4 linked regions of the Bombyx mori genome follow. The protein of the gene in region 2 interacts with the protein of the main gene of each other region in a biochemical or structural test. Links are inferred from orthologs where the notes say so. Each region holds a gene or a part of one and is shown on either strand. Other genes may lie near its edges.

The links.
Region 1: the proteins of ubiquitin-conjugating enzyme E2 S (region 2) and anaphase-promoting complex subunit 2 form a complex in vitro, tested with the Homo sapiens proteins (3 studies listed by BioGRID and IntAct). The link is inferred for Bombyx mori from reciprocal best matches to the Homo sapiens genes UBE2S and ANAPC2.
Region 3: of the proteins of ubiquitin-conjugating enzyme E2 S (region 2) and ubiquitin-like modifier-activating enzyme 1, one has a biochemical effect on the other in vitro, tested with the Homo sapiens proteins (8 studies listed by BioGRID, with this or other methods). The link is inferred for Bombyx mori from reciprocal best matches to the Homo sapiens genes UBE2S and UBA1.
Region 4: the proteins of ubiquitin-conjugating enzyme E2 S (region 2) and RING-box protein 2 form a complex in vitro, tested with the Homo sapiens proteins (3 studies listed by BioGRID). The link is inferred for Bombyx mori from reciprocal best matches to the Homo sapiens genes UBE2S and RNF7.

What each region holds. Positions count from the first base shown.
Region 1 is NC_085131.1:8,612,958-8,621,101, reverse strand, and holds anaphase-promoting complex subunit 2, read left to right. Parts: upstream 1-3,480; 5' UTR 3,481-3,611; coding exon 3,612-5,945; 3' UTR 5,946-5,992; downstream 5,993-8,144. UniProt on the Homo sapiens protein: Together with the RING-H2 protein ANAPC11, constitutes the catalytic component of the anaphase promoting complex/cyclosome (APC/C), a cell cycle-regulated E3 ubiquitin ligase that controls progression through mitosis and the G1 phase of the cell cycle.
Region 2 is NC_085116.1:175,060-183,198, forward strand, and holds ubiquitin-conjugating enzyme E2 S, read left to right. Parts: upstream 1-2,612; 5' UTR 2,613-2,747; exon of another isoform or gene 2,748-2,870; 5' UTR 2,871-2,937; coding exon 2,938-3,085; intron 3,086-4,568; coding exon 4,569-5,038; 3' UTR 5,039-5,483; downstream 5,484-8,139. Other genes in the region: uncharacterized protein LOC101745345, read right to left, coding at 172-431. UniProt on the Homo sapiens protein: Accepts ubiquitin from the E1 complex and catalyzes its covalent attachment to other proteins. Catalyzes 'Lys-11'-linked polyubiquitination.
Region 3 is NC_085114.1:15,608,176-15,614,878, forward strand, and holds part of ubiquitin-like modifier-activating enzyme 1, read left to right. Parts: coding exon 1-650; intron 651-946; coding exon 947-1,354; intron 1,355-2,411; coding exon 2,412-2,670; intron 2,671-3,444; coding exon 3,445-3,620; intron 3,621-4,131; coding exon 4,132-4,353; intron 4,354-4,704; coding exon 4,705-4,956; intron 4,957-5,527; coding exon 5,528-5,833; intron 5,834-6,123; coding exon 6,124-6,703. UniProt on the Homo sapiens protein: Catalyzes the first step in ubiquitin conjugation to mark cellular proteins for degradation through the ubiquitin-proteasome system.
Region 4 is NC_085111.1:9,081,701-9,089,968, forward strand, and holds the start of RING-box protein 2, read left to right. Parts: upstream 1-3,613; 5' UTR 3,614-4,342; coding exon 4,343-4,496; intron 4,497-5,114; exon of another isoform or gene 5,115-6,350; coding exon of another isoform or gene 6,351-7,622; intron 7,623-7,706; coding exon of another isoform or gene 7,707-7,826; intron 7,827-8,268. Other genes in the region: uncharacterized protein LOC101738136, read left to right, coding at 1-190, 2,133-2,323, 2,519-2,655; facilitated trehalose transporter Tret1, read right to left, coding at 6,351-7,622, 7,707-7,826. UniProt on the Homo sapiens protein: Catalytic component of multiple cullin-5-RING E3 ubiquitin-protein ligase complexes (ECS complexes), which mediate the ubiquitination and subsequent proteasomal degradation of target proteins.

The sequences.
Region 1 (8,144 bases), on a different chromosome or scaffold from region 2:
CATAGAAGACCAGCATAAAAGTCTTATTAAAATCTGTTCAGTAGTTTTTGAATGAAGAGTGAAAATACTTACAAAACTTCCTATTTATAAGTAAGGATTACTTTATTATTTAATTAAAGAGTTTTGTAGGTGGCAAACTATCTAAAAACTTTCTATTTTCCACCAAGTTGACATCAATTATCCTTCCTGCATATATAATTATTGTATTGTTTTTTTTATAGTCTAACAAGGGGTGATATTACATTTGCAATTTCTGGGAGTTTGTTGAAAAATATATTATATATATATATATTGCTTGCTTGACTTACAGATAAATCGAAATCATCAGCCAATTGAGAGAATGTTCTATTTAATGTTATTCTCATCAGACATAATATAATATTTTGTTCAGAAACATTTGTATGTTTCTCAATCAAGCCTATTATGAAACATAATTCTTGTGGAAGACCAATATATAAACGTTGTTTATTTTTCACTTTAGATAAAGTTGTTAACACATTCATTTTTTCAACTTTTTAGTCTTCTTGAGAGCTATAGTCTGAAGTGCACAAGTCTTTGATGGAGTGGAGATATAGAGAGATAACTCATAGTCAACAGTTGATCCTTCTTTTGCTGAGAATGAATATTTATTTATAAAATACACATATGTTTTGACCACGAATTTTGCACGATAATTTAAATTAATATTCATTAATATTAATTTAAATAAATATGAATTCATCTTCTTCTTCTATAACCCATAGTCAACAGTTGATCCTTCTGTTGCTGGTGCATTTGACTCGTCACTGTCAAATTTGTCCTCAGGAACAACAGTTTTTTTTTTGCTGGTTCTGATTGTTTACTTATACTTGCTTCAGATATATTAAGGGGTGATGTGGCAATACACACTTGCCTTGCCTTTGTGTTACTGTGCTGGAGCTACTTGGATAGCTTTGTCATTACTACACCTATTTTCAAGTGGCTGGACATCTGGAAATATGAAATAATGTTAGCAATTTCCAACAAACGTATAGTTTGTAAATATATAGGATTATATGTGTACTGTCGTAGTAGTAGTAGTAGTATTTAACTTCCTAACTTCATCATCATCAGCCCATATAATATATCCCCTTGCTGGACACTGGCCTTCACTACCATTGAGAGGGTTTTTAGGCCTTAGTCCACCACGCTGGCCTAGTGCTGGTTGGTGGATTACACACCTAAGAAAATCCTAAGAACATTTAGGTATGCAGGTTTCATCACAATGTTTTCCTTCACTGTTAAAGTAAGTAAGTGATATTACACTGTGATAAATTTTCATTTTCACAAACTTCCTAGTACCTTATGTAATAGGAACTGAGATCCACTTGCCCATTTTGGCTACTTCCACTAACTAACTAACTATTCTCATTTTTTCTGATATTGTTATTTGATTAGGAGATCTGTGAGTGTAACTAATTATTGACAGTTACACCTACCTTGACTACAAGATGGCAAAGGTATAATAATACGACACATCTCATTTTTAGTCGTCTCTTCAATTTCCTTGATAATAGTGAGTCTTTGCCGTTTCACAAATGCAGGCCGAGGTTCACTATGAGTGAATTTTCGTTTTCTATCTGCCCGACAATCGAATTTGGATGGTAAACAGTTTGGTTTCATTCGAATTCATTTAATGGAGCTCATTATCTTGTATTGCATATAATTCTCCATGTAGTTTTCCAGCTAAAACATGAAATAATTTTCCAACAATTTCAATACATAACCTATAAAAAAAATATTAAAATGTTATATTACTAATGTTAGGAATATAATTTCGACTGTGTCAAAATGTTATTATAATGTATACCTACATTATCTCTTGAAAGATAAATAATGAACATATTTACTTATTTGTTTATATTACCTATGTGAACTCTTAACCTATCTTTTTTATACCTTCATAGCGATAGGTATATAGGAGGATGGAAAAAATGTATTTGGTCTAACTTTACGCGAATGCACATTATTTTATTTATTTATTTTTTAATTTTTTTAATTAAACTGTATACCAATTAATCGATCCTTCAGGATTTATAATTGTTTTTTTTTCACGATTAAAACCGCGTAGAAAGTTTAGGCATTATAGTTGACGCATGCGCCATAGATTATACACTTATGGCATGCGCAGTACACATATTTTGTATACATTTATTCAACTAATACAATTAATTAAACAAAAAATGAGTAATTTCGAAAGAGAACAAACGTATTTTATATAAGAACAATCGAAAATGAATATTTACGAGTAATTAAGGACGAAAAAATTTTAAAAATTGCAATCGAGGGGCTAACTTTTAGATATATTTTTAATATTTTTTTTAAAATAAATAAATGGGGAACAAACAATTATTAACAATGAACAATCAAGAACAAATGATGAACAAACGAATTAATAGAAAATAAGTAGAAAACAGGAAAAAAAAATTTTTTTGAGGGGCTAACTTCATTCACCTATAAAATCACACCATTTAATTTATAACAAAGGCCAAAACCATATATTTTGTTGTGAGAAAAGTGAAATAGGAATTTTGCACAAAAAAAATCCGGCGAGTTATTTAGCCGCGTGGAACTAAATTAAATGTCAGAAATATTGGAGCTCAATGAATTTGGCCCCCCCCCCTTTGTAATTATTGGATTTTTTATTTTTAATTGTTATTTCGTCTTTTATTTATTTATAATTAATTAAACAAATGATCACCCTTAAGTCGGCCCCTCTTACTAGATGTCTTTATTTCTATCACTCAGACTAATTAATTTTGATCAATTATCGTTTGTTCGGCGACTATTGGTGATTGTTGCATCATAAAAACAAATAAATTCCCAATTATTAATTATTTTATATCTATTAAGCAATCAGGCCTATATTGTGCATGCGCCGGTTTTGTCAGTCACCTATCAATGGCCGTATTTACTAGCGTTTTGTTAACAAGTGCGCTTAAACTGTCTAATTATTTCCTAGGTAGATCAAAAAAATATTGAAAACTTCAACAATACTTCAACAAAAAAATGTCAGTGAAGACGACCAATTAGTCGTTAAAGTACGATTCGCCCGGTTTTAATAAATTCAGTTATTTTTAATTATATTGAATATTAACAACCATATAGAAATTTCAGTGATTTCTAATTATTCTAAGAATATTAAATTAATAATTGGGAATTTAATTGTTTTTATGATCGAGCAATCACCAGTAGTTGTCGAACAAACGATAATTGATCACAATTAATTAATCTGATCGATAAAAATAAAGATATTTTGTAAGAGGGGCTAACTTAAGAGTGATCATTTGTTTAATTATAAATAAATAATGGACGAACAAACAATTTTTACATTCGAACATTAACGAACAAACGACGAATAAATAATTAAAATTAAAAAAATATATTTGAAAATTAAAAAAAGGAGGCCAAATTCAGCTAAAATACTAACTCTATGGCACAGGACCACAGATCATAGATTAGACACTTAATATCCACAGATTAATATATTAGGATTGAACGCAAAGAGTAAAGTGTAAACATTAATTAATTTATTTATGAGGATATCGTTCTTAGATCTTAGATCTTATGTATAAGATAACTGACCTGCAATAATGATGAATATAAATCATAAAAAGGAAGATTTGAAACTGTACTGGAATAAAATAAACTATGCCTATCCAATTCTCGATGATAAAATTTTCAGCGACTGTACTGAGGCTGAATACGATGAAGTGCAAGTGTTAATAGTTAATTTGGGTGTCCAAATAAAGATACGTGATCTTGTATTTGTTCATATTGAGAAATATCTACGACAACATGTCGCATCTAGTTTTTGGTCAAAATATATTAAGACCGCGGAAGAAGTTAAAGGATTTCAACTATTTAAATCTTCAGTGAATGATCTCTATGAAGCAGTTTCTAGTTTCTCACCCATGTTACAAAGATTGACTAAATTGAACAGTAGTTGTAATGATAATAAGTTAATTTATGGCGAGAAAAATCTTGTATTAGGTTTTAAGCAGCTCGTCCGAGCTACTCTTCTGTCTCAGTTACCCATCGACTTTCAGTGTATTATAAACCAATTCTACAAAATATCTTTTAATGTTTTCGATAATGAATATGAAAACTCCGACATGGGCGAGGACATAATGTGTTCTGGTTGTGGAAACGAGTATTCCGATTGTAACTGTGCATACATTGTGAAAGTATTTCATGAAACAAATAGGAAGTTGGTGGAGTTACAATTGTTAGAAAGACTCACAGGTCAAGTTCTAACTAATTTCATCCAGTTGAGAATTCAGTCTCATATACAGAAAGTATGTACTGGCACTTTTGATGTGTCCCACATTGAAGCATTAGAAAGTTGGCTTAATACGACAGTAATGTCTTGGTTGATCAGAATTTATTGTGCTGGCTCCTCCAAACCTCCACCTGATGATAAAAATATACAAAATGCAATCTCAAGATTCAAACAGAAACTCACTTACTATCTCTATCATAGCTACACAAAAACAAGAATTGATCAGCTCTTCAACATCATTATAGAATATCCTGATTCCCAGCCTGCTGTTGATGACATCAAAATTTGTTTAGCAAAAACAGATTTGAGACCAACTCTATGTAAAAAGTTACAGAATGCATTAGAAACAAGGCTTCTTCACCCAGGCGTGAACACTCCTGACATACTCACTGCTTACATATCTACTATTAGAGCTTTGAGACACCTAGATCCTTCTGGTGTTATACTGGAAACAGTGACAAAACCTGTTCGTAATTATTTAAGAAGTAGAGAAGATACAGTGAGGAGTGTTGTGAGCAGTTTGACAGAAGAAGGTGCTGGTAGTGAGTTAGCTGAAGAGCTAGCTAAATTTGCAGCAGAAGGAGATGGCGATGCCGATAAAGATGAGGCTTGGGATGAATGGAATCCTGATCCAGTTGATGCTGATCCCAAAGTTGATTCAAATGACAGAAGAACTAATGATATTATATCTATGCTTGTTAATGTTTATGGTAGCAAGGAATTGTTTGTTAATGAATATAGAACTTTACTAGCTGATAGATTACTGGCTCAAAGTGTTATCAATACAGAAAAAGAAATTAGGTACCTGGAGCTATTAAAAATAAGATTTGGTGAATCACAATTACACTTCTGTGAAGTCATGCTTAAAGATATATCAGATTCAAAGAGAATTAATTCCTTAATACATCAGGACAAAACCATTGAGGAGCTGAATAAGAAATTTACTTCTAATGCAATGATTTTATCTGCACAGTTTTGGCCACCATTTAAAGATGAAAGTCTGGAATTACCAGAAGAAATCAAGGAACATTTTGAAGCATACACTAAATCTTATGAAGCTTTAAAAGGTAATCGAACATTAAGCTGGAAACCACACCTTGGAAATGTAAACTTAGAGATAGAAATAGGCGAAAAGAAGTTAGATCTGACAGTTTCACCTTTTAATGCGACATTGATAATGCATTTCCAAAATAAATCTGAATGGACGTTAGATGAACTCCATCAGGTGATGAAAGTTCCTATTACTATTCTGAGAAGGAAAATAACATACTGGCAATCGATGGGTTTAATAGCAGAAAAAAGTACAGATCACTTTGTTTTAGTTGAAGCTGATAATAAAGCCAGTGTACCTTCACATCAAGTACAGGAAATGATTTGTGAAGATGAAGAAACGGAGAGTGCCATGGCATCAGCACATGATCAGCGGGAAGGTGAACTGCAAGTTTTTTGGTCTTATATTGTAGGCATGTTAACAAACTTGGACTGTTTGCCTTTGGACAGAATACATCAAATGTTGAAGATGTTTGCTTCCCAAGCTCCAGGCACTGAATGCAGTCTTATGGAGCTGAGACAATTTTTAGACACAAAAGTAAGAACACATCAACTGGTACTTCAAGGAGGCATGTACAAATTGCCTAAGACATAGATGTTAATATTTATCAGAAATAAAAAAGAACTTGAAAGTTAACAAAACTTTATTTTCACCTTTTATATATTAATTTGGTTACATTACATGTCTATTTAAGTTAAAAGTTCAGATGCTTAAAACAATTTCTTTAAGCTGTTCCATCAACAAAATACATTATAAATTAAAATAAGTAATACCACCACTTGACTATAAAATAATACGAATAACATTTAAATACTTAGTGAATTTAATACATTATCATGTGTCAGTCTTAATATCTATTAAAATACTGTTTAAATTAAGAAGTAAGAATAAATAAATAAAACTAATTTGACAAGAAAAACATACTGGAGATAATACAGATTCATTATAAATATGCAGGGTGGAATGCATTTGGTCTAAAAAAAATTAATTGCATGGTTTGCAAAGTTTTCAATAATTTCAATATTTTCTTTTAATTACACTTTAATAGGTCATTATTATGTTACAATATTATGCCAATAGGCAGTTCCTAATAAAATGGAATGTTAATAATTAAAGGTAGTGCCAATGATGATAGAAATATTTGAGAAGTCATGCTTTAGTCTAAATAACCTTTTTTAAGCTTTACATTTTTCAACGAAAATTCATTAGTAGCCAATTTTAACATTTATTACTATTAAAACAGTATGTTTGATACTTTGAATTTTAGAAAACACAAATGTGCAGTTAAGTCCTGTTATGTTACGTTATGTATTTGTGAAGGTTTAGTAAGATCATGAAGCAAAATAAATATTACAGTTTATTACCTATTTATAAACAGACCTACAACAGTTAAAGCTCTACAGTAGTTTACATATATACAAGTACATCAATGCAATGTCGAATGTTTGCACGAAACTATTCAAATAAAGTAAAATTTTGGGGCAAAACGAAACAAAAAAACCCATTAAAACAGTTTTTATGTATTTCAGAACAAAAATAATACGTAAATCCGTTCGCACATCTATTTTATTATCGATCGGCAAAAAATGACCAGTTTTCTTGAATTTCATCTCAGATCAACATATATTGGCATAAACTCATTTAAATACCTAGTTGAATAAATCTCTCAAGTTACTTAGAAGTTAATTGAAGTTAAATAAACATTTTCGCAAAAATAAACTTTGCATTTTAAATGCAAACTAACGAACTACAACTTTATCTTAGAAATAATTAAGTACTTTAATAATTCATTAAGTCCATCCTTCAGGTGAAAATCTTGTGTTTGCTGGTGAACGCATTGCATAATTTTGGATAACATAAAAATTCTTTTTAAATGTTATGGTCGTATTTCACAATTCTGAAACGATTACATCGGGAAAAGGCAAATATTGGAGATTCGGAAAATCGTTAAAAATAATAGAATTTTGAAATTAGTTTCTACATAATATATTAAAGATCTTTGGCACTAATATTTTATTTTTATAATGGCTTGACCAAAGGATATTGGGGTAGGTACCAAAAGATACAATCTTGGCAATCATTATTTCTACATAATATGTGTACCCATTGTAATTAATACGCAGGATGTTGAATCGTTATTAGACAAACTGATTTTAAATAAGATACGGCAAAATAACGAGGACCACCAATTAAAAATCCCTGTATTCAGATCCTAGACATTATGAGATTTTTACGGCTAAATAGGTAAAGTAAATAAATCATAGCTCATTCTAAAGGTTTTTAAAACTTAAAAAAACATTTATGATATAATTTATATACACTCAAAGAGTATTTTTCTCTATGCCTCGTAACACTAGCACCATGTTCATAAAGCGTTTACGGACCTTTGGATATCTTGATATGTTCTACGTTTTAAAAAAAATCAGAACAACCAAAAAAAGGCTCCTAATTTTCATTTGGAAAATAATGCCAATACAATGTAACCCAATATTTAGATATATGTGATGCCAAGCTGTACGTTTTCGATCCGTTTGCTTTTTCGAAATTAGTTTTAGATTTTTATTATGTGCCTTTTCCCTGATTTAGTGCATCAAAATGCCAGTGTTACATACATTGTGCTTAATTTAGGTATCAATATTTTCACCGCTACTTTTATTGAAAAAGAAACAAAATAATTTTTTATTAAATCAACATGAAGCTAACACAAAGGCCAATTACGTTCTATATAATGTGCTGATACGATTATGTGTACGTATTTTTCAGTAAATGTGCGTAATGATTGTCATCCATGAC
Region 2 (8,139 bases):
GGAGTTTATGTAGCTTACTTGAAGTCTCTGTAGTTTATTTGACTTTCATACATCATTTCTACTTTCTACATGCTAGTTAATCATACAATTTAACGTAAATTAATAATAATAGTATAAAATAGCTTTGGGTGTGCATGTAAGTTTAGTAAAATGTTGAAAGGAAAGTCTTACTCGACGAGATCGTCAAGACCCAGAAGAGTGAGGGGCTCGTCGGGCGGCAATAAATGACCCCGACACAGCAATGACATACAGCATATCTGCAGTCCGAACGTGCGGCAGAGCCTCTGTTGCAGCCACCGTACCTGACGCGACTCCTCCACCCACATGTAGCATTTGGCGCGCTCATCGGTAAACACACGACGAAGGCACACACTAACTCGGAATCCGCGTTCCTGTAAGTCCATTAGCTCGTCTCCCCGTCGTTTAGGCATTTATGAGATCTCTTCTTAATGTTAATCTGTCAAAGAAATTTTGATTTAATCTACTAATCTACTAGTTTTTAATCAATCAGGAATGTGCTTTAATCTCGGCAACATCACACGAACAATTTTATGAATCTTAATTTGCAGTCTCGAAATCTTTTTCGAACCGAATGTCTTCTTGTTTCGTGATGTAGGTTCCCGTTATTTTATTTCTATTTCATTTATTTTACATCTGTGACACATACATTAACAACTTAATATTTATTGCAATATATTAACAATATTAAATTAAATTAAATAGATGATTTATTTGAGAATTTGAGACGAGACCCCAACTTTAAAGTTGGTAGTACCGTAGTACCTAGTTCTATTTTTCTGACTGGAAAGGTTAAGGCAAAGGTATCGCACCATACAGCGTAATCTTTTATCATTAATTTTTTTATTATGAAAAATGCAGAGAGTTAATTGTAGGTACTTATTAACTCCATAAAAAAATTATAATATGAAATGGAATGAAGTTGATTAATTTGGAACATTAATCAATTGTATGAAATTAAATGAAGTGAGATGAGATGATATGAGATAAAATATAATCTTAGTAAAATTGTGGTTATTTAATGAGCCTTTTTACTGGACTTTTCAGAGGATCCCAAGCAGGTACATCCAGCGGCTTTGTTTCATTTTCCCACATTTGTGCACTTTCACAGATACTAAACATTTAATAAGCCACCGTTGTTACACGTTTAAACCTGAAGGAATTGGTCTTAATATTCAGGTCATACAATCCCTTGTAAAAAAGTAATTCTTCCTAACAAAAACAAAATCAGAAACACAATATGAGATGTGTAGGTATTAAATATCTATGTGTCTAGGGACACAAAATTAAGGAGACCTGTTAATACCCCCGTGCACAAAACAAAACTCTGATGTGGACGTTCCTAGATAAGGAATGTACTTTTGAGTTTGTTGGATTCGCCTCTGAACAAATAAAATACCCACACGACCAAATGGTTTGTTAGAAAAGTCATATTAAAATTTATTTTGCTAAAAGTTAAATGTAACATACTCTGGCAATAATTAGACTACCGTACTTTATGACTTAATCACGAACACTAACGATTACTTCTAACGTCTAAGAGAAGACTAAGTCATCCATGAGAACTACAACTGTAAATTACCTGTACGTAGCGCCGGAAATAATAAAACTACAATAAAAAAAAAATTGTGAAAAGACGTTGAGTTTCAAATGTGTCTACCACACGTGAAGTCGAAGAAAATCTATACTAATATTATAAAGAGGAAAGATTTGTTTGTTTGTTTGTTTCGAATAGGCTCCGAAACTACTGGACCGATTTGAAAAATTCTTTTTCCATTAGAAGCCGACATTGTCCCTGATGAACATAGGCTACTTTTTTATTTTATTTTTTATTTATTTTTTTGGTTTCATGTGTGTTTTAATGTTTCCGAAGCGAAGCGAGGGCGGGTCGCTAGTATTAGATAATAGAAAATAAACATGATTAAGGAATATAATTATAAAGGAAGTGAGCGAATGAAAAATATTAATTGAAGTGAGATATAACACCCTTAAGTGTCCATTGAGATGAATTGAAATCACCTTTCAGAATTTACTGAGCTCAATGGAGTTTTTGGAAGTTGCCGCGAATCTACGTTTAGCGATTTTGTTTCATTTCACGCATTTCTACATGTACTTCAACTGATATTAAATCATAAGTAAGCCACCATTAGGAAAGTTAAGGACCATTACATCTGAATGAACGATAAATTAACAAAATAAATCAATTCACATATTTTGCCCTCTCTCTAAAAAGTCGATGAAACAATTAATTGTTGCCAGTTTCGATTTATAAAATGTTCATGTAGATAATTAGTACAAATCAGCGATTTTTAATTTATTTCCCAATTTTGCGAACTTGCAAATTAGATAAATAAATAAATAAAAATATTCCCCAAAGATATAGTAACAAAAAGTAAGATCGGTCAAGATTATTGAACATAGGTAGCTTAGTATTTATAGCACCTTTCACTTATGTCATAATATCTCTATAGTATGTGGTAGTAAGGAACAGTAAGATAAATTAGCATCACATCTGTGATTTAATATATGGAATTTTATACGTAAATATTTAGTTTTAATTAAGAACACAGTGTGACGACCCATTAAAAATTTTAGCGCATTGTGGAATGAATGTTATAGGAATAGTTAAAGCTACCTTTGCCTAATTGGGCAGGCTAATAAAAAAAATGCAGTTTTATGTTTTGAATTTTGAAAATTTTGATAGATCAACTCGAAATCAAATTTGATAAGTAGTGAACATTTTTCTGAATAATAAAAATTGCATGCTCTGTTGTAGAAAGAGATTAATATTTCGAAATTCCTTCTCAAAACAAATAGAAAAATTCTAAAAACTTAGTGACATTTCGTTTTAGTGTAAAAGGTGATAATAACGCAAGCAAATGCTATGAGCGCCTGACATAAAGAAGGAGAAGCAGAAGCATGTCGAACGTGGAAAACGTATGTCCTCAAGCGTTGCGTGGCGTGGCACGCGAACTCCGACAGCTGGCGGCTAATCCTCCGCCGGGCATCAAACTGCAGCTGCGAGACGACGACATATCTGACATAGTCGCGCTTATCGATGGTCCCGGTAAGAATCTATTCAAATATGATACTGCCCTCACCTCCAGAACCGGTGTGACATTTCGTTAAACAAAAGGCATATCTACTTTCTCATGTCATGTAATAAATCAGAGGTGGAAAGGTAAATGGTCCAATGGCAATGTCTGGATTTGTTACATTGAAGTACATCTCAATATTCAACGTCACAGTTACAATTTATACCGATTTTTTGCTATCTGCTTGATATTTATTTTGTTTTGAATGTCATTACTTATATCTTGCAATGTCTCAATTTTGTATGGAAAATTTGGACATGATTTTTTTTCAATCTGCATCTCCCGTCTTTTAGATATTCAATAATTATGGAGTCCTTTGAAGTCATGGTCTTTCTAAAGATATATTAACAGCTGCAGATATTACATTGTCAGAACTTTGTTTAACTTATAATTTAGACCTCTGAAGAGATGAGGAATAGGAGAATCTGACACTATCTAAAAGTCATAATTTTAAGAAATGTATGATGTGTTCTTTTTGCATATGGGACTTTCTTTAAAACTAAACAATAAATAAATACCTTCATAATGAACACCACACAATATAAGCCACAGATAGGTGAACCAATTCTCAATATATACCACTGCCAGTTATGTTCAAAGTTTTCAAAAAGCTGTTGTCATGTTACATCTTACCTTTATTGGAGAAAAACAAAATCATCCCAAAGAAGTTTAGTTTTAGGACGACATATTTAGTAGTTGTGCAGTTATAGAATGATAGAGAAAATGAGAAAGTCAGGTGTTTTTAGGCCTCTCAAGCACCAGTCCTCCTCGGTTGATTACGACTAACCCATACACAGCCCACTGAGTATCTTGCTGGATCTTCTCAGTAGGTCGCAATTCTGATCTGGTGGTAAATGTTTCAAAGCACTGTTCTTGCTAGGTCTAGTGCTAGCAAATTCTCTCAGGTTGAGCCTGTGAGCTCGCCTATCTGTTCACGAGAAGCTGGAATATCTCCACAGGATACTAGCCAATAAGTAGGGAAAAATTATACATATACACATTTTTTTATGTGTATGATTTTTATGCTTTTTTTTTTCTAATTGAATTAATGTGTCAAAATATTTTTGAGCATTTTTGTATATAGTTGTTATATCTAAAGCTGTAAGCTGTAAGCTGTGTTAAGTAAAATGAGATTTTAGTATGGCCAGAGGTTTAATATTTTTTTTATTGCTTTGATGCATGGACGAGCTCACAGCCCACCTGGTGTTAAGTAGTTACTGGAGCCCATAGACATTTACAATGTAAATGCGCCACCCACCTTGAGATATAAGTTGTAAGGTCTCAGTATAGTTACAATGGCTGCCCCACCCTTCAAGTCAAAACGCATTACTGCTTCACGGCAGAAACAGGCGCGGTGGTGGTATCTACCCGTGCGAACTCACATAAGGTCCTACCACCAGTAAAAACCAGATTCAAGGGTATCAACTAAATTAATGCAAAAGTTGATGATTTCAGCGGAGACGCCGTATGAAGGGGGCGTGTTCCGCGTGCGACTCGTGCTCGGACGCGAGTTCCCCGCCAGCGCACCGCGGGCATACTTCGTCACCCGCGTCTTCCACCCCAACGTCGCCGCCGAGACTGGCGAGGTCTGCGTCAACACGCTCGCACGCGACTGGCGCCCCGAGCTCGGGCTCCGGCACGCGCTCCTCGCTCTGCGCTGTCTGCTCATCGCGCCCAACCCTGACTCGGCACTCAACGCGGAGGCCGCCGCCCTACTGCGCGACCGCTACGACGACTACTTCGCGCGCGCCAAGCTGCTCACCGACATCCACGCGACTCGCAGCCGCGCCCCCGCCCCCGCGCCCGCCGCCGCGCCCGCGCACGCGCCCGCCGCCGCGCCCGCGCACGCGCCCGCGCCGCCCGCCAAGCGCCGCCCCGCGCCTCCCCCCCGCGCAGACAAGCGCCGCATCCTGAAGCGGTTATGAGCCGTCCCGAGATCAAACGATCAGACCACGCAAATGGACTCGTCCAACACGAGCGAACTTTAAGATATTTGCAAAATTGAACTTTAAGTAGTAGGTGAACTTTTTAATAATTTAATGTGTATCTGCAAAAACTGAAATCCTTGCGTTGAGTGTGCGCTGGACAGTCTGCTGCCCTTCCCCCATCTCCTTCCCGAAGCTCTTCCCTCGCGAACGTCGAGTCACTAAATAAAATCTTACCCCAAGTTAATTGAGTTAGAATCCTCCGTGCGGCTGGAGCTGAGCTGCGAGTGGCGCGGCTGGACAGAGCGCTCTGCTGCACGTGACGCTCGGAATATAAATTCACAATATCGCTATTAAAATACGTTTCCATAGATTTAATTCCTAGATTTGTAATATTGTATTGAATTAAAATAGAATAATATATTAATAACTGTGCGTACAAAAATGCGTGTTTTAATTCATAATTATTCAAACAGTAAAAACACCAAATTTTATGCTGTTCGGATATTGAGTACCGAGTACACCGTAATCGTCCGGTGTAGTGGTGTGACGTCACATGTGGGCACGCGTGGGGACGCTGACGAGGTCAGGGCCTCCCCGCAGCTCGATTGGAGGCGATGAGTTGTTCTGATTTGTGCCCTTTTTAAGTTAAGATGAAATTGTTAATGGAATGAGACTTGTTGCAAGGCATTTTATTAAACGGCCTATTTTTTTTAAACAAACCTTATACGGGTGATCTAACAATGTGTGTTTCGCTTCCAAGTAAAATCCAGCTTTTAGTTAGACACGTGTATCAACAGTTATCCGAATTAAAATTGTGAAACCTTTACAGCACGAGGTATCGTTTCACTCACTAATATATTAATTATTTATTTATTATTTAAGTTATTTTTTTCCTACCTATGCTGATAGCCTTGAGAGGCTATTTCAGCTTCGCCCTAACATGTGGGTGAGCTCACGGTGAGGCCCGAGGCCGAACCTCCTACGAGGTCCCCGCGCCTAGGGTGCGCGCGGGGCATGTGGGACTTGTCCGCAGACTGCGGGTCCAAGAATGTTTTCAGGGCCTTACCTACCCACTAAACGACTCTCCTGCACTCTTCGCCCAAGCCTCCGATCCCCTCCGAGGTCAGAACCCGGATGAGGTAGGGGGGTTACTGCGGTCAACACTGCAAACAGACAGCGCAGCTCACCCCAAGGACGCCCAGCCGACGGAGTCTTCGAGGCGAATCGAAGGCTCCGAAACATAGGCCGTCTCGGTACGGCAGTCCGTCAGACCGCCCAGACGATGCCGCTGGTGTCCCGGAATACCCCGCTAGACCAGAACCAGCCTGCCGGGTTGGGCCGCGATACACCGCCAATCCGGTTTGCTCTATTATAGATACTCCTTGGCGGCACGCTAGAGTGCTGGTAGCGCGCCTTTGCCCCCTCAGGTTGCCCCTTGACCTTCACCGGGGGGAAGCCGCCAACTATAGGGGCCAGGACGTACGGGCGTAATCCCTCCTCTAGCCTCCGGCTCGACGGCGACGGATCGGTGCGAAAAAGGAAAAGCTCTCTTTCTCTCGTTCCGCCGCCTCCTGACCGCGACGAGGGCGGCGCGCTGCTCGTCGAATCCAGAGCAACGCGCCAATGTGTGTTCCGCAGTGCCATCCTCGTCGCGGTCTACTTTTTTCTTATTTTTTTTATTGCTTAGATGGGTGGGTGAACTCACAGCTGACCTGGTATTAAGTGGTTACTGGAGCCCATAGACATCTACGACGTAAATACACCACCCACCTGCGCAATGGTGGCACTGCGCCGTCGGTTCCCTTCCGGTTGTTTTATGCAAGTACCGGCTGAAGCAACCGTGGCCGGTAAGCATCTGCGTAAGGGCCTGGCCACAGCTACTGGCGGTGCGTTTTGCGGTACGTTACGAGGTGCGGCGTGTGGCGCGATTTGCGGTGGTATGCCACAGCTAGACTAGTTGCGACGGCGGCGGCGTCAGAGGTGCGCGTATTTAGAGAGCCTTATCAAATGTCCCTATCAAAAGTGGCACGATATTACCTTGAAATAAGTGCGTTCTTAGCTGAAGATATTATTTAATCAAGAATAGGAGCGCACTCAGTTAGAAAAGGAGAGAACTTGGCGAATTTCACACTATTTATTAGGAATATAAGAACTATCCCGATAAATAGATTATTAATAGAAAATAGATTCAACCTTCACAGTGATTACCAGGTTCAAATCTCAATTTACCATTCGTGTTAATTGGCGACGAAACCTATCTTAAAAATTATTTAATGCGCCCATATCCACCGGGTGGTTTAAATGCGGAATAAATAATTTTCGACAAAGGATTATCCCGGGCAAGAGTCACAATTCAGTACGCGTTTGGTATTTTAACTAATAAATTTCGTATTTTTATAAAAAGTGGAAAGGCAAACAAAAAGCACGCGACATTGAATATAAACGTTTCGTGCCTGTTACACAATATTATAAGAGAAAGAGATGGAGACAGAGATGCAGGTTTTCAGCAGTTTGTTTCCCAGTTTGGAGACTCCAATATTCTCAATAGCGTACGCAGATCAAGACGGAATAATCGAGCAACGGTTCTAGCATCTAGAATACGAAATCAATTCAAAGGACAATGCCGATTTTCTTTGAGCGTTTGGGCCCCTAAAAAAAGTTGTCGTATCATGATGGTTTTAACTTAATTTGATAGACAAAGAAATATCGTTTCATATTCAGAAAACGATTTTTATATTCTCATCCAGGTTTAAGAGAAATCTATTTTTTTCTGCAGCTAAAATTAAGATGTTAATTTCTTCGAAATCAATAATCGCTCTCATAATTAGTTACAGAGTTAAATAAGTTCATTGTGGTTAATGTTGCTACAAATAAGCCCTTATGTACATTTTGTTATTATTATATCCTCATAATAATAATAATAATGAAGGTGGTTTCTGAAAATGGACCTCATTGACCCTTCTTTCGGAAATGAAAATCTGGAAGCCGGCAACGATATTGTTGTTGTTGTTTTTAAATTCACCAATAGGCAGGCAAAGAGCGTAGCCTATACAGCCTAGTCTGTCGTAGTTATATTATTTTCATGTTAATAAAAAGCC
Region 3 (6,703 bases), on a different chromosome or scaffold from region 2:
ACTCGGCAATGGCGAACAATGGAGCGCGCGTGGAAGATGAAATCGACGAGAGTCTGTACTCGCGCCAGCTCTACGTGCTGGGCCACGACGCTATGCGTCGAATGGCGAGTTCTGATGTCCTTATATCTGGCCTTGGCGGTTTAGGTGTCGAAATAGCGAAAAACGTTATCCTTGGTGGTGTAAAGTCGGTAACTTTGCATGACGACAAAAATTGCACCGTGGCTGATCTTTCCTCGCAGTTCTACCTTTCAGAGACTGTAATTGGTCAGAACAGGGCTTTAACATCGTGCGAACAACTTTCTGAACTGAACCACTATGTGCCCACTACTGCTTACACAGGACCTTTAACTGAAGACTTTTTGCGTAAGTTCCGTGTTGTGGTCCTCACAGGAGCATCGTGGGCTGAGCAGGAGCGAGTAGCTGCGTTCACTCACGCCAATAACATAGCATTGGTCATTGCTGATACTAGAGGCCTGTTCTCACAAGTGTTCTGTGACTTCGGACCAGAGTTTACGGTGTTAGATGTAAATGGAGAGAATCCAGTCTCAGCTATGATTGCAGCCATTACGCAAGACTATGAGGCAGTTGTGACATGTTTGGATGATACTCGTCACGGATTGGAGGATGGCGACTATGTTACGTTTAGTGAGGTTGGTTTAACGTGTAACTTGGTAGTCAGCAATCAAAGTTAATTTGCCCAACTCATAGCACTAAAAATAATGAGTGTTTTGAGGTAAAAAACAACATGACTCACCTGGTTGAATAACCTCTCTGACTATAAGATGCTAAAGATCAATTTCTTGCATAAATTAATATTATCTCTCAGGTTATCCATAAAATCAGATCAGGTCAATAATTTTATTAAGTAAAACATTCAAAATTAATTAATATTGTTTACAAGAAACTTCTTAATGACAATAATATTTAAAAACTTTATTATCTACAGGTTCAAGGTATGACAGAACTAAATGGCTGTGAACCCCGCAAGATCAAAGTCCTTGGTCCCTACACTTTTAGTATAGGTGATACTACAAACTTCTCCAAATACATCCGAGGAGGTATTGTTACACAGGTCAAAATGCCCAAGAAGATCAACTTCAAGCCTTTGAGTGAATCATTCAAACAACCAGAATTCTTGATCTCTGATTTTGCCAAGTTTGAATATCCACAGCAGTTGCATTTGGCTTTTGCTGCTCTTCACAAGTTCCAGGCTGGAGAAGGTCGTCTGCCAAAGCCATGGAATGATGAAGATGTGGCAAAATTCAAGCTGTATGTGAAAACTGTTCTAGAGGATGGACTTTATAAGGATGAAGATTTTGAAGTGAATACTGAATTATTGGAAACATTCTGTAAGGTAAGCGGTGGTCTAAAACATTGTTACACTAGTCATCAATAAGCAAAAAAAAAATTATAAATAAAACCAAGTAATCTATATATATAAAAATGAATTACTGTTCGTTAATCTCGCCAAAACTCAGGAACGGCTGGACCGATTTGGCTAATTTTGGTCTTGAATTATTTGTGGAAAGCCCAGAGAAGGTTTAAAAGGTAGATAAATATGAAAATGCTCAGAACTAAATAAAAAAAAAAAATTGTTTTTCCTTTGATGTGTTGGCCGTCAGACGATTCCTTTTGTTTGTTTTAAGTTTATTTTATACAAAAGTTTAGTTTAGACTGAGGCACTACGAAGTCTGCCGGGTCAGCTAGTTTTAGATAAAGATAATATTAAAATGTATTAAATATTATTTAAATTATGTTTAAATTAGTAGTAGTACTGTGAGTTACAGCTTATTGCTGTACAATAATAATAAAACGATTTATTTCATATTAGTTGGGGATATTGTCAAAAATAGACATAAAGAAGAAACAGCAAAAAAGTTAAATTTGGAAGAAAAAAAATACGTTGGACCTCTTATTGGGTCTTAGGATTAAATTTTTTCTTATATTTTATTATAATATTATTTCAGACAGTCCCTTATCAGTAGAAGGCTTTTTATATATTTTGTAAACTTACACCTGAAGGTACAACTCTTCTACTTTTATTGTAAATACAAATTATAATAAAATTATTTTCTACCTTCCTGTTGTCTTTCATATAAACATTTGTAATTACACACTTGAAATACCTGTTTGATTAAAAAAAAAAACTAGTATTTTTACAATACATTAGTGTGTAAAATAATTTATAGACAGTTTATTGCACTTAATGCTTCACTACTATGACATGCTGTTTTTATATGGGCAGTGGTAATTGTTCCATACATTTATTGTGTCCAGGTTTTAGGATAAAATATGATAATTCTGGATGTTTCCATCTTTTCAAAACAATTTCCAGGGAACCAGCATTGTCTCAAAAAATCATGATTATATGATTGGTCTTAACATAACATTTAATTTAATTTCTTTTCCAGATATCGTCAGGAGACCTAAATCCTATGAACGCAGCGATAGGCGGTGTGGTTGCTCAAGAGGTAATGAAGGCTTGTTCTGGCAAGTTCCACCCACTTGTACAGTGGCTTTACTTGGATGCTATTGAGTGCTTACCTAAAGACCATTCAACTCTCACCGAAGAAAATTGCAAACCAGTCGGTTCACGATATGATGGACAGGTAGCTGTTTTTGGTAGAGAATTCCAAAAGAAACTTGGACAGCTGAAGTATTTTATTGTGGGTGAGTATCTGGGACTCTGAACACTTTTAAAAGGATTGATTGATTGACACGTGAGGAGAATGATAATTATTGTCATTCTCCTTATGTGCAAGACTATTCTGGAGTGAAAGGCTCCCATGGTCAACTGATATCTATTCTAGTCTTAATTTATATCACACACTGTATTTTTAATCTGCAAACAAATATTGTTACCATCCCTTGGAACTTGACAAAATTTTCTAGCATCAGTTATTCTGTAAATATGTTATGCTGTTTGGGAAATTGCAACATAAAGTAATAAGTAATTAAAAGTAAAAAGTAAGACTGACGTCGTTGGTCGTCGACTATCGCCTCGACGACCCGTCGGTCGGGCGTCCTCGGGGTGGCGCCGCGTGTCTGGTTGTAGTGTTGACCGCGGGAACCCCCCTACTCTGACCGGGTTTTGACCCCAGACGGAGATCGGACGCCAGGTGTAAGAGTGCAGGGGAGTCGTTTAGTGGGTGGGCCCGCGGTCTGCTCTCAACACCTGCAGATCGTTGAGTCTCACATACCCCGCGCGCCCCCTAGGCGCGGGGACCTCGTAGGAGGTTCGGCCCTCGGCCAGGAAAAAAAAAAAAAAAAAAGGGTTTCACACTCAACTTTATGGAACCTGTGTGCTCTCTTACATATATGGAACATAAATAATTCTGTAAACTCAAGATTGGTAATTTACTAATGAATAATAGTCAATATGAACTATCTGTATGAAGCTACACAAAATATTAGTATAGTATCATATGAAGTTTATCTCTTCAGGTGCTGGTGCTATCGGATGTGAATTATTAAAGAACTTTGCCATGATTGGTGTGGGTGCTGATGGAGGACAAATTACAGTCACGGATATGGACCTCATTGAGAAGTCTAACCTCAACAGGCAGTTCTTGTTTAGGCCTTATGATGTACAGAAACCGAAATCTAGTACTGCAGCTAATGTAAGTTGCTGGATTCGTAATGACATTTGAGATCACTTGTGTACTGCTATAGAGAGCACAAGAGTAGCCATCTACACAGGGTTTGCTTCGAGATTACTCCCTGAACCAGTGAATTTCAGTTTAGTTTCAAATTCAATGTATAAATGTTTTTGCTCGCCTAAGTTTTAATGTTTCCCTAGTTGGTTTCAGATATTACACAATATATATTTTTTTTACTTTATTGCTTATATGTGTGGACGAGCTCGCAGCCCACCTGGTGTTAAGTGGTTACTGGAGCTCATAGACATCTACAACGTAAATGCACCACCCACCTTGACATATAAGTTCTAAGTTCTTAGTATAGTTACAACGGCTGCCCCACCCTTCAAACCGAAACGCATTACTGCTTCACGGCAGAAATAGGCAGGGTGTTGGTACCTACGCGTGCGGAGACACAAGAGGTTCTACCACCAGTAACTATAAATATATACTGTAATACTCAAATACTTTTAATATATTTTTTTTGTCATAGGTAATTAAACGCATGAATCCAGCAGTAAATGTTTTGGCACAAGAAAACAGAGTTTGCCCTGAGACCGAGTCCGTCTACAATGATGCATTCTTTGAAGCATTGGATGGTGTAGCCAATGCACTCGACAATGTCGACGCCCGTATATACATGGACAGACGGTGTGTGTATTATAGAAAACCTTTATTGGAGAGTGGCACTCTTGGAACTAAAGGAAATACACAGGTTAGTAAAATCAAAAGCATTTGAGATACAATTTGAAATAACATGAAACGTTGAATAAAATTAATTGGTTAATGATCAAATATAAATTAGAACCCTAAGAGAAAATAATAGTTATGAATTGATTTAACGTTGTCTAGTACTTATACTGGAAACACAAAGATTTTTAAGTATCATTAACTATTCAAACTTGGTAAATTAAAAAAAAGTTGTTTTGATACTGATATCTGAATCTTCACAATCTTTTAAACATAAATCAATAATATTTCATAATATATAAGTAAAGAAAATATTAAGCAAGATATAATCATATCAAAAGAAATAACATTAATACATCAGTAATTTACGTTTTAGGTGGTTGTTCCATTCCTTACGGAATCTTACAGCTCATCCCAGGACCCTCCCGAGAAGAGTATTCCTATTTGTACGCTCAAGAACTTCCCGAATGCCATTGAACACACACTACAATGGGCTCGCGATGAATTCGAAGGTTTATTCCGTCAGGCTGCTGAGCATGCTGCCCAATACTTGCAGGACCCGAATTTCTTGGACCGCTGTCTTAAATTGCCTGGTACTCAGCCTTTGGATGCTATTGAGAGTGTGCGAGTAAGTGTATATAACATATTTTTTATTACTCGTAGTAAACATACTGTCTACCTAATAACCTGATCACTGCCCTTCAATACAGCTATGCAAGAGTAACGACTATATTAAAGTACTACGCCTTCTCTCATTCAATGTTTCCTAATATCAGTTAACATGCACAGACAAATTTTAGAATGAAAACCCTTCCAAAATGTTTTCCTGTTACTATGAAGTAAAAGGTTGTAGGGGAATGATACCCCGCCCTGCTTAGCTGCTTGCTATGTATTTATAGTAATGAGCAACATACGTTAGTCAGTCAGTGGTTTACATGCAGCGATCCACCGCGGTCGCTGACGCGAATAAACATGTGATTATACCTAGTGTTTTATTGACCGCTCCGATGAGGTTTATGGAGGACAACACGCAACGGACAAACAACTAACACACACACCTCCTCCATCTTCTCCATAAAAACCTCACAAGGTCAACTTCTACAATAGAAACGAAAAATTATACTCATTTCACTCCATTCATTTTATTTGTTTCTCTTGAAAAAAACAAAATGTAAATCTCCAAAATTGTTAAATTACAGAACGCTATAAACGAACGCCCTCACAGTTTCGACGACTGCGTGATATGGGCGAGACATCATTGGGAGAACCAATACGCGAACCAGATCAAGCAGCTCCTTTACAACTTCCCGGCGAAACAGTTGACCACGAGCGGAGCGCCTTTCTGGTCCGGACCGAAGCGTTGTCCTTCACCCCTCGCCTTCGATCCTAATGATGAACTACACGTCGATTACATTGTTGCCGCAGCGAACCTCAGGGCTACGGTATATGGAATCCCATCCTGTGTTGACAGGGAAAACATCGCCAAGCTTGCCGCTAGCATACAGGTACGTAAAACTCTGAATAAATCATTGTTTACGGCAAGAGTAACTCTACTTATGTTGCATCTTGGATCATGTGATAATAGGTTGTAGAACAATTTGATTCATACACCTGGTGCATCCGCTTCTATTTAATAGATATTAACTAGTATCACAGGCATTGTTAATGAAATATCAGACCTATATTTGTTAAAATTTATTATTTTCCTATAAACTAGAACATTACAAACAACAACGAAACAAAAATGTATCCTAGACATTTGATGGTGGTTATTTTATTCTATTTTATAATTCAGGTACCGAAATTCAGCCCCAAATCCGGCGTGAAGATCGCGGTGAGCGACGCCCAGTTACAGCAAAACAATGACGAGATGGATCAAGACAGGGTTAAGAACATGATCGCAGAGCTGCCGTCTCCAAGCAAACTCGGATCTCTTAAGATCACACCGCTAGAATTCGAAAAAGATGATGATACAAATTTCCACATGGACTTCATCGTTGCCGCCTCCAACCTGCGGGCTACCAACTACAAGATCACGCCAGCCGACAGACATCGCTCTAAACTCATCGCTGGCAAGATTATCCCTGCCATTGCCACTACAACATCCGTGGTGGCTGGCTTAGTCTGCCTCGAACTTTACAAACTGGCCCAAGGCTTCAATAAGCTGGAAGTGTTCAAGAACGGCTTCGTCAACCTTGCCCTGCCCTTCTTCGGTTTCTCTGAACCGATTGCGCCGTCGACCAACACCTACAATGAGAATAAGTGGACATTATGGGACAGATTTGAAGTTAAAGGAGAGATTACATTACAGCAATTTTTAGATCACTTCAAAAACGAACACAAGTTGGAGATCACCATGTTGTCTCAAGGTGTGT
Region 4 (8,268 bases), on a different chromosome or scaffold from region 2:
AGTTTGTTGATCAATTGTCAGGCACGAGACAGTTTGACGACTTCGTGGAACCTGGTTATATTAATTTCTACACAGTTAGTCCCAATTACTTTTATGTACACAATGATAACAGAAGAATCAGAATTTCTCGAAGTGCGAGTGGGGCTGGAAGTCTTGTTGTGTGTCATTCAAGAGCTGTTGCTCAACCAAGGTATTATGTGTTCGTTCAATATATACTTAGTCTGGCCATAAATACCGTTACAAAGGAAAACAAAAAAAATTCTATTGCAAATAACATTTATTACTTTTACAGTGTGTTAGTTTAATACATAAATATAAAACAATTTAAAGTATAAAAAGCTTATTCGAAGTGGTCTCCATTGGCTGCAATACAGTCCTTTAAACGTTGAGGCCAGTTATCAATAGAACCACGCACTCTTTCCATGGGATTTTTTTTTCTGCCAATCGGATTGTTTTAGGGACTCCAAATTATCATGGCGTTTAGAGCAAGCCGTACTCTCTAAAACTGACCATAAATCATAATCCAGCGGATTAAGATCGGGACTAGACGACGGCCAGTCTTCAGCTCTGATGAAGTCCGAAACGTTCGTTTCCAACCAAGACTGCGTAGACCGAGCTTTATGACCTGGCGCCGAGTCTTGCTGGAAACACCATTCTTGATTATTGAACATGATGTTGTTAAGGGGCTTCATTACCTTCTCAAGAATGGTATCTTGATACACTTGTGCCGATGTTTTGATACCTTTTTCACAAAAGTATGGCTCCGTCACTCCTTCATAGCTAATACCCCACCAAACAATCACTGAAGTCGGATAGTACCCACGTAGCACTCTGTCGACTAAATGGGAAGCTTTCTTAGAGCTTTGAGCATAAATACGGTCATTTTGTTTGTTAAAATGTTGCTTAATTGTAAAAATTTTCTCATCCGTAAACAAAATTTTTCTATGACCTCCCTTTGCGTACCGCTTCAGTAGTTGTTTCGATTTTACCTCCCTATTCTCTTTTAAATTATCAGTCAAGAAATGACCAGTACGTCTCTTATGGGCTGCAAATCCTAAGTCATCTTTTAAAATACGCGACATGGTTCTAGTGCTATCTTCATCTCCCAAGATAAAATCTTTTGCTTTCGGACAGGGTTTCTTCGAATTCTTTCCCTTACTGCTTTAACCACCTTTTTTGAACGAACACTACGTGGAGGGCCAGATCTTTTTCTGTCACAAACAGAGGAGATCTCATTGCACCTATTAATAGCCCGGTACACAAACATTTTACTAATACCAAGCGTATGGAGAGTTTTAAAAATTGCATTTGGCTCCATACCTACTTTGTGTAATGTGTAATGCAATCACAGCGATTCGGTTCTCTTTATCACCCCACTCCATTTTAATATCGCAAAATATTGTACAATGTATTGCATTGCAATCATATAAAAACGACAGATTCCAAATTCAAATGTAATATTTTTTTATTTTTAATTGTAACAGTATTTATGGCCAGACTAAGTACATATAATTTAGAACTCATATAAACATACGTATCTATGTATATTTTAATTCAGTTATTCCGTGAACGTAGTTAAGTATTCCTTAGATTTTTATAATTTTTTCTTAATTGCAAAACATGGACAAACAAGTTCATGCTCCACCCGGTTTTAAGAGCTTATGAGAGACCATCGTAATACCCTTAAACTTCACAGTTAAGTAGAAATTTCAAAGGAGCGGCCGACAATATTATGACGCTCCTGGACACTCTTCTGGGGTAAATGCAGGAATCCGGGCAAAAAAATAATAATGGTCTTGGTATTTAGAGTTTACAGATCACGATACACAACGCAGTTCACAGGTTAATTACGATAAACTCAGCATTAAAAAAACAACGGACAGTGCTTGCCAATTCCTTCCATTCTACCCTATCTAGACTCTGCTTACGTTTACAAAGTTTTGTGACGTAAAGAAAAGTAAATATTAAACTTGTAAATGTAATTGTGGTACCAAATCGTGCGGGCTCACAAATTCGTTCTTGCACCAGTAAATGCCAGTAGACGATCGCTTTAGAAATAGTCTAAAAACGCTGTTGCCACGGGAAAAGGATGGTATTATTCGAGATGCCTTTAAAAATTCTTTGACTTCCAGACGCAACACAACAATAGTAGGACTTGATCCAAGCGCAATAACTTGTGAGAATTTGGCTTCCACCGGAAATATTGAAATAAGGCTGCAGAATGCTTGCGACAGTTTTTGGACCATAGGATCATGTCCACCACTACACATTTCCGTACAATCAGAAACTGGTGGTGTTGATGCCACAAGCGCGATTTGCACAGGTATGATTTACATCCAAAATTATATGGGTATTTTACTAATATTAATAATAGTTATGTCACTTTTTAATTGAGTACCTAGTAAGTATTGACTAATAAGAGATTCATTCAAATTATATGTTTTTTCCTCTTACACCTTTTTTAACAAATTTCACATAAAGAAATGGTCATTCCTAATGGACTGTTTTTTAATTCTAGATGCTTCGGTATGCAGATTCCCATACAACATTAGATATCAAGTCCAAATTGAAGACCTGGGGTGTTTTAGTGGAGCATCAAGTCTAGGAGCCAGCCTCGCAATTATTCTGACTTCTTTGTATCTCGCAATATTCTAACTGCGGGTATTAAATTTGGAGAAGCGTTATTTTTTCCTACCGATAGTAATAGTACCAACCTACTTTTAACACAAAACAAATCTATAAGTTATCGTTCATTTTGAATATCGTATTTTGTTTCATACACGTGTAGTTTAAGATTTCCAATTTACAATAAGATTGTACAAAAAGCGTGGCGGAGCCTATTGAGTATAAAACATTAAATATTATAATATATACATATTATAAAAACCAGATATAACAGGGTTTATTGTACTTATTTTATACAAAATATAGTTTCCATATATAATACATTAAGTATAAACGTAGACTTTAAGCAATTTTCGTGTTTTTTTATAAATAAAATCTACTGTAACAAATAGCCTTTGTATTATTTTTTATTCTATATATGTTATTAGTTCTGAGTTATTTGGTAGGTGAGCTCGCGGGGCTCAACTTGAGTGTGCTAACACTGACCGTAGCAAGAACTATGCTTCGCAGAATCTACCACCGGAACCGAAGTACAAACACATCACTAAATCAATGGCCCCATTCATGAAACCGGAAGGCATTACCTACTACTTCGTCATAGATAATGCACTTATTATGTTTATTACTTCGTTAGAGAAATAGGCAGGGTGAAATTCCACAAGACGATCTGGGTCGTTTTCAAATTTGAGGCCAAACTATCGTAAAGCTATCGTATCGTAAACCAAGTATTGTATTAATGTTATCTTATAACATTGTGTCGTAATATGAAAAATTATATGAAGCGAAATGAGACATTAATCGATTGGAATTAATTTCCATCTTCTTTTTCATCGTTCTCTCACCGCTGAGGATCGCGACCACATGTGATTTTCATCCACAGTGTTTGATCATGGGTGGCATGGACCGCATGATATAGACTACCACCAACCAGATCTGACCATCTGGCTGGCGTTCTGCCTACGACGCGCAAAAAAAAGAAGGTATTGCGATTTAGACTATTTATTTATCAAATTTGATCTAACGCTTTTTAAACCTTTTTATTTTTAATTAAGCACGGTCATCCGGCCCCAATTTAGGATTCCCTGTGTTACGGGTACCAGAGACTACTAACATACTTATATACGTTCAAATATATACATATGTATATAGATAATAAACACCCAAACAAAGAGCAAACAAACTGTTCATCACGCAATGTTTGCTCGATGTGGGAATCTAACACATAACCCTCGGCGCAACAATCAAGGCCGCTAGGTACTGTACCTCCGAGTCAGTCCTAAACAGTCCAATATGTCATGCAGTTCAACTGACGCACAGGGTACATCTGTAAAATACGTTTACGGTTGCTGTTACACTAATGTTATGAATTAACCCACCAACGCCATCTAGTTTCTTTTTGTTAACTTTAAGCCAATATTCCCCGGATTAAAAAACTCATGGGATGATTATTCATTCATTAATTGCGTGGATGTAATTCAGAGTTTATACGAACATTACGTCGAAGATTACTCTTTAAATTAAATCTTTATCAGTATAGGCTATTTCCTTTTACCGCAACAATTAGAAAAGTCAGTCTGTCAAAGCTGTCACTGCCACTTCAAAATCTCACCTGATTATGTTTTTAAAAATAGTAAACAAGTCGAGCATTGTAAATGTACGCATTTAATTTTCAATAGTTACCTTAAATATTTACCATAAACATTAAAACGCATACATTATGTCCGGTGAAGACTGTGATGGTATGGACCGTGGGGATAACGATGGTCCAAAATCCGATAAAATGTTCACATTGAAAAAATGGAATGCTGTTGCAATGTGGAGTTGGGATGTTGAATGTGATACTTGCGCTATTTGCCGCGTGCAAGTAATGGGTAAGTTTTTAATTATTTATGTTGTTTATGAATCAATTCATAGATATTCATCAAAGTGATAGTGAGTCAAATTTATTTAACAAATTAATTGCTTGGACAAGATGACAGTTATTTTCCAGATTAGAATATATAGAACTATTAAAGAAAATATTACTACCCTACTATAATCATATTACAAGTAATATTTAGTGTGCTGTGCCGATCATAATTAGAACTAGATTTTGAGCACTAAGTATGTTTTCTTAAAAGTATTTTATTTTTATTTTAAGTTAAGATGAATGTTGCCAATTAGCATTGAGAGTCATTACTTTTTTTAAAATGATTACATTATTTAGGGATAGAATATAATTACTAATATATTAAACAAAACAGTAGTAATATTGTTCTATCAATGTTATATATTTGGATTTTCAAAATTAAAAATGTTGTGTGCGTGTGAATTATTCTCAAACTATTTAATTACGCTTTAAATTTAAGGCCATAATTAAGGCATTTTAGTTTAAATTTCATTATATTACATTGAAATAATCCTGTTTATTAATCCATCAATCTGTTAAAGAATTGTAAAGAATACTGACTTAAACATAAATATTATTTTGCCGTAGTAAAAGCAGAATCGATTGATCATACTTTCTTTAATTCTAATAATTCTCTCTTAATACAACATAATATAACATAATAACACCTAGGTCCTGGGTCATGTCCTGGTTCTGGGTGGGCTATATACTTTTGAACATTACCAATATGTCTCCTCTTAACTTGAACTGTTTACTAACTTTCATGAATGGAAACATAGTTACACTTACAATTCATATCAATATGTGTGCTTGTCAAATTAAACAAATAAATAATAATAGTCATTGGACCGACAAATCAATATGTTTGAAAGCTGTACAATATAGATTCCATGTGGTCTGGCCCCCCTTGTTTCGTAAAAATAATAGTTAACTATTGTTTTCTTAGTTAGTTCTAAAATTTGAAATTGCAGGTACATATAACTCTATTCATAGGCACAATTCGATTAAAAGAGATTAGTACAGTGCCTTCAATGTAATGATTCTGTGAATTGTAATGGTTCGAATTATAATTTAAGGATGTGACTCTCTTTCCATTAAGTGAAATTTATTCTTTAGATCTTACCATTTATTTTCATATTAAAGTTTAAAAAAAACATTTTTTATTACAACTAATATAAGTAACTATTTTTTTTTTTTTTTATTGCTTAGATGTGTGGACGAGCTCACAGCCCACCTGATGTTAAGTGGTTACTGGAGCCCATAGACATCTACAACGTAGATGCGCCACACACCTTGAGATATAGTTCTAAGGTCTCAGTATAGTCACAACGGCTGCCCCACCCTTCAAACCGAAACGCATTACTGCTTCACGGCAGAAATAGGCGGGGCGGTGGTACCTACCCGTGCGGACTCACAAGAGGTCCTACCACCAAACTAAATAAGTAACTTATGATTTTAACTTTACGGCATAGATTAAACTCTGTTATAAGATTGCCAAAAAGCTTAGTATTTTACATGAAGTAGTGTATGATACAAACTACAAAATAAAATCATTATAAATAGTTACTAAATGTAATAATTTCCCAATAAAAACTACTAAAATACTTTGGCATTCATGTCATAAATTATAATCCTCGTAAAGTCTACCTACCAATAGAACCAGTTACAACAACTAAGTATGATACCATTGTACTATTAGATATAAGATTTTTTTATAGAAATCTTTTTCTACACAACGTTTTTACTGCCTAAAAATTGTGAAAAGAATATAGTAAAAGTTATTAATTGCTACTTTAAAGCTAATTTTATTCAATTAATAAATGCTTAAAACATCTTCTTAGCATCCGTTTGGCAAAGGCTTAATGTTTGCTATCGAGCTTAGTCGACGAGTTCTGGGTTTCTCTTCTCTACCGGTTATTTTATTTTCAATTTGATCAAGGCTTTTGCCTCTCGTTTCTGGTACGCAAACAATAACAAAGAATAAGCCTACAAAACAAATACTCCCGAAGAGCCAAAACGTGCCCGCCGCGCTGATCGCATCAACAATGTTCTGAAATGTTTTTGTTACAATAAATGTACATAGCCAGTTAAATGCCGTGCAGATTGAAGCAGCGCTACCTCGAATCTTTGCTGGCAAAATTTCACCCATCATTAACCATGGTATTGGCCCGAAAGCCAGTGAGAATCCTAACAAGTATATCATAACGGTAGTCAGTGGTAACCAACCCAAATCAGATACATCTAATTTTGCTTGGTATTTAACATAGAAGAATGTACCCAAAATAATTAAAGTAATAGTCATGGTCACTGAAGAGATATATAATAACAATTTTCGTCCAGCTCTATCTATTAGCGCCGTAGCGACAAAAGTGGAAGCGAAATTAACGATTCCTACAATAATTGCTGAAAGGTTTTCGTCCACAGAACTTCCTGACATTTGAAATATTGTCACAGTATAGAATATGACGGCATTTATACCAGAAAGCTGTTGGAAAGCCATCAAACCGAGAGAAATAAGTATCGCCTTCGTATATTTGATGCTAAAAAGATCTCGTATGCTTGCATCATCGGCTTGAGCCTCTGCGTCTGAAACTGCAATCTCTCGAATTTCACTCTCGATATCACAATTTTTCCCTCTAAGCCATTGTAGTGCTTTTCGAGCTTCTTCCATGCGACCATGCGAAATATACCATCGGGGTGTCTCCGGGATAATGAACATCAAAATAAAGAATGGAATGTTCATAGCAGCACCCAGAAATGCAAGCGCGGACCAGTCTAAATATGTGCCAGCTAGGTAACAAATTAAGATACCTATGTTACCAATTGCTGTAGGGAATAGTCCTAAAGTTCCTCGGACTTCTGGTTGGATTGTTTCCCCTAAATAAACCGGAAAGGCTAAAGATCCCACACCAACACATAATCCACAAATAGCACGCCCGACAAAAACCAATTCGACAACGTGTGCTATGGCTATAACTATCCATCCCACGCAGAATGGCGGAGCTATAAGTAGTATAGTTCTACGCCTTCCTAAATAATCCACCAAGGGTCCACCGATCACTCCACCTGCGAGTGCCGCCAAAGGCATCAAGCTTCCAATCCAACTAGCCTGCAAAAAAAAAGTTAAAGTAGATTTATGGATAAATATTTGTTTGTAATCAATTAAATTACCGACAAAATAAAATATACTTGCCTGTTCTTTACTGACTGATATAACAGTGCTATTCTTCATTGTAACAAGACCAGTTGAAGTGTAACCTGACGAGAATCCTATAATCATGGAGCCCATCGATACAGCAATAGCAGCTAAAACCTGGAAATAAAATAAAATAAAGTAATTTTATTATACTTTCACAAGACACTTAACCATAGTCGTGTTTTAATCTTTTTTTTTTTTTATTGCTTAGATGAGTGAACGAGCTCACAGCCCACCTGGTGTTAAGTGGTTACTGGAGCCCATAGACATCTACAACGTAAATGCGCCACGCACCTTGAGATATAAGTTGTAAGGTCTCAGTATAGTTACAACGGCTGCCCCACCCTTCAAACCGAAACGCATTACTGCTTCACGGCTGAAATAGGCAGGGTTGTGGTACCTACCCGTGCGGACTCACAAGAGGTCCTACCACCAGTAAATCATAAAATTCGCGTACGAAAACCTGCCTAAAACGGAAAATAATGCGTCTTTCATCGTAAATAAATCGTTGAAAGTGACATCTTCCTACAAAAAGGGGTGTGCTATGAAAGGCGAAACG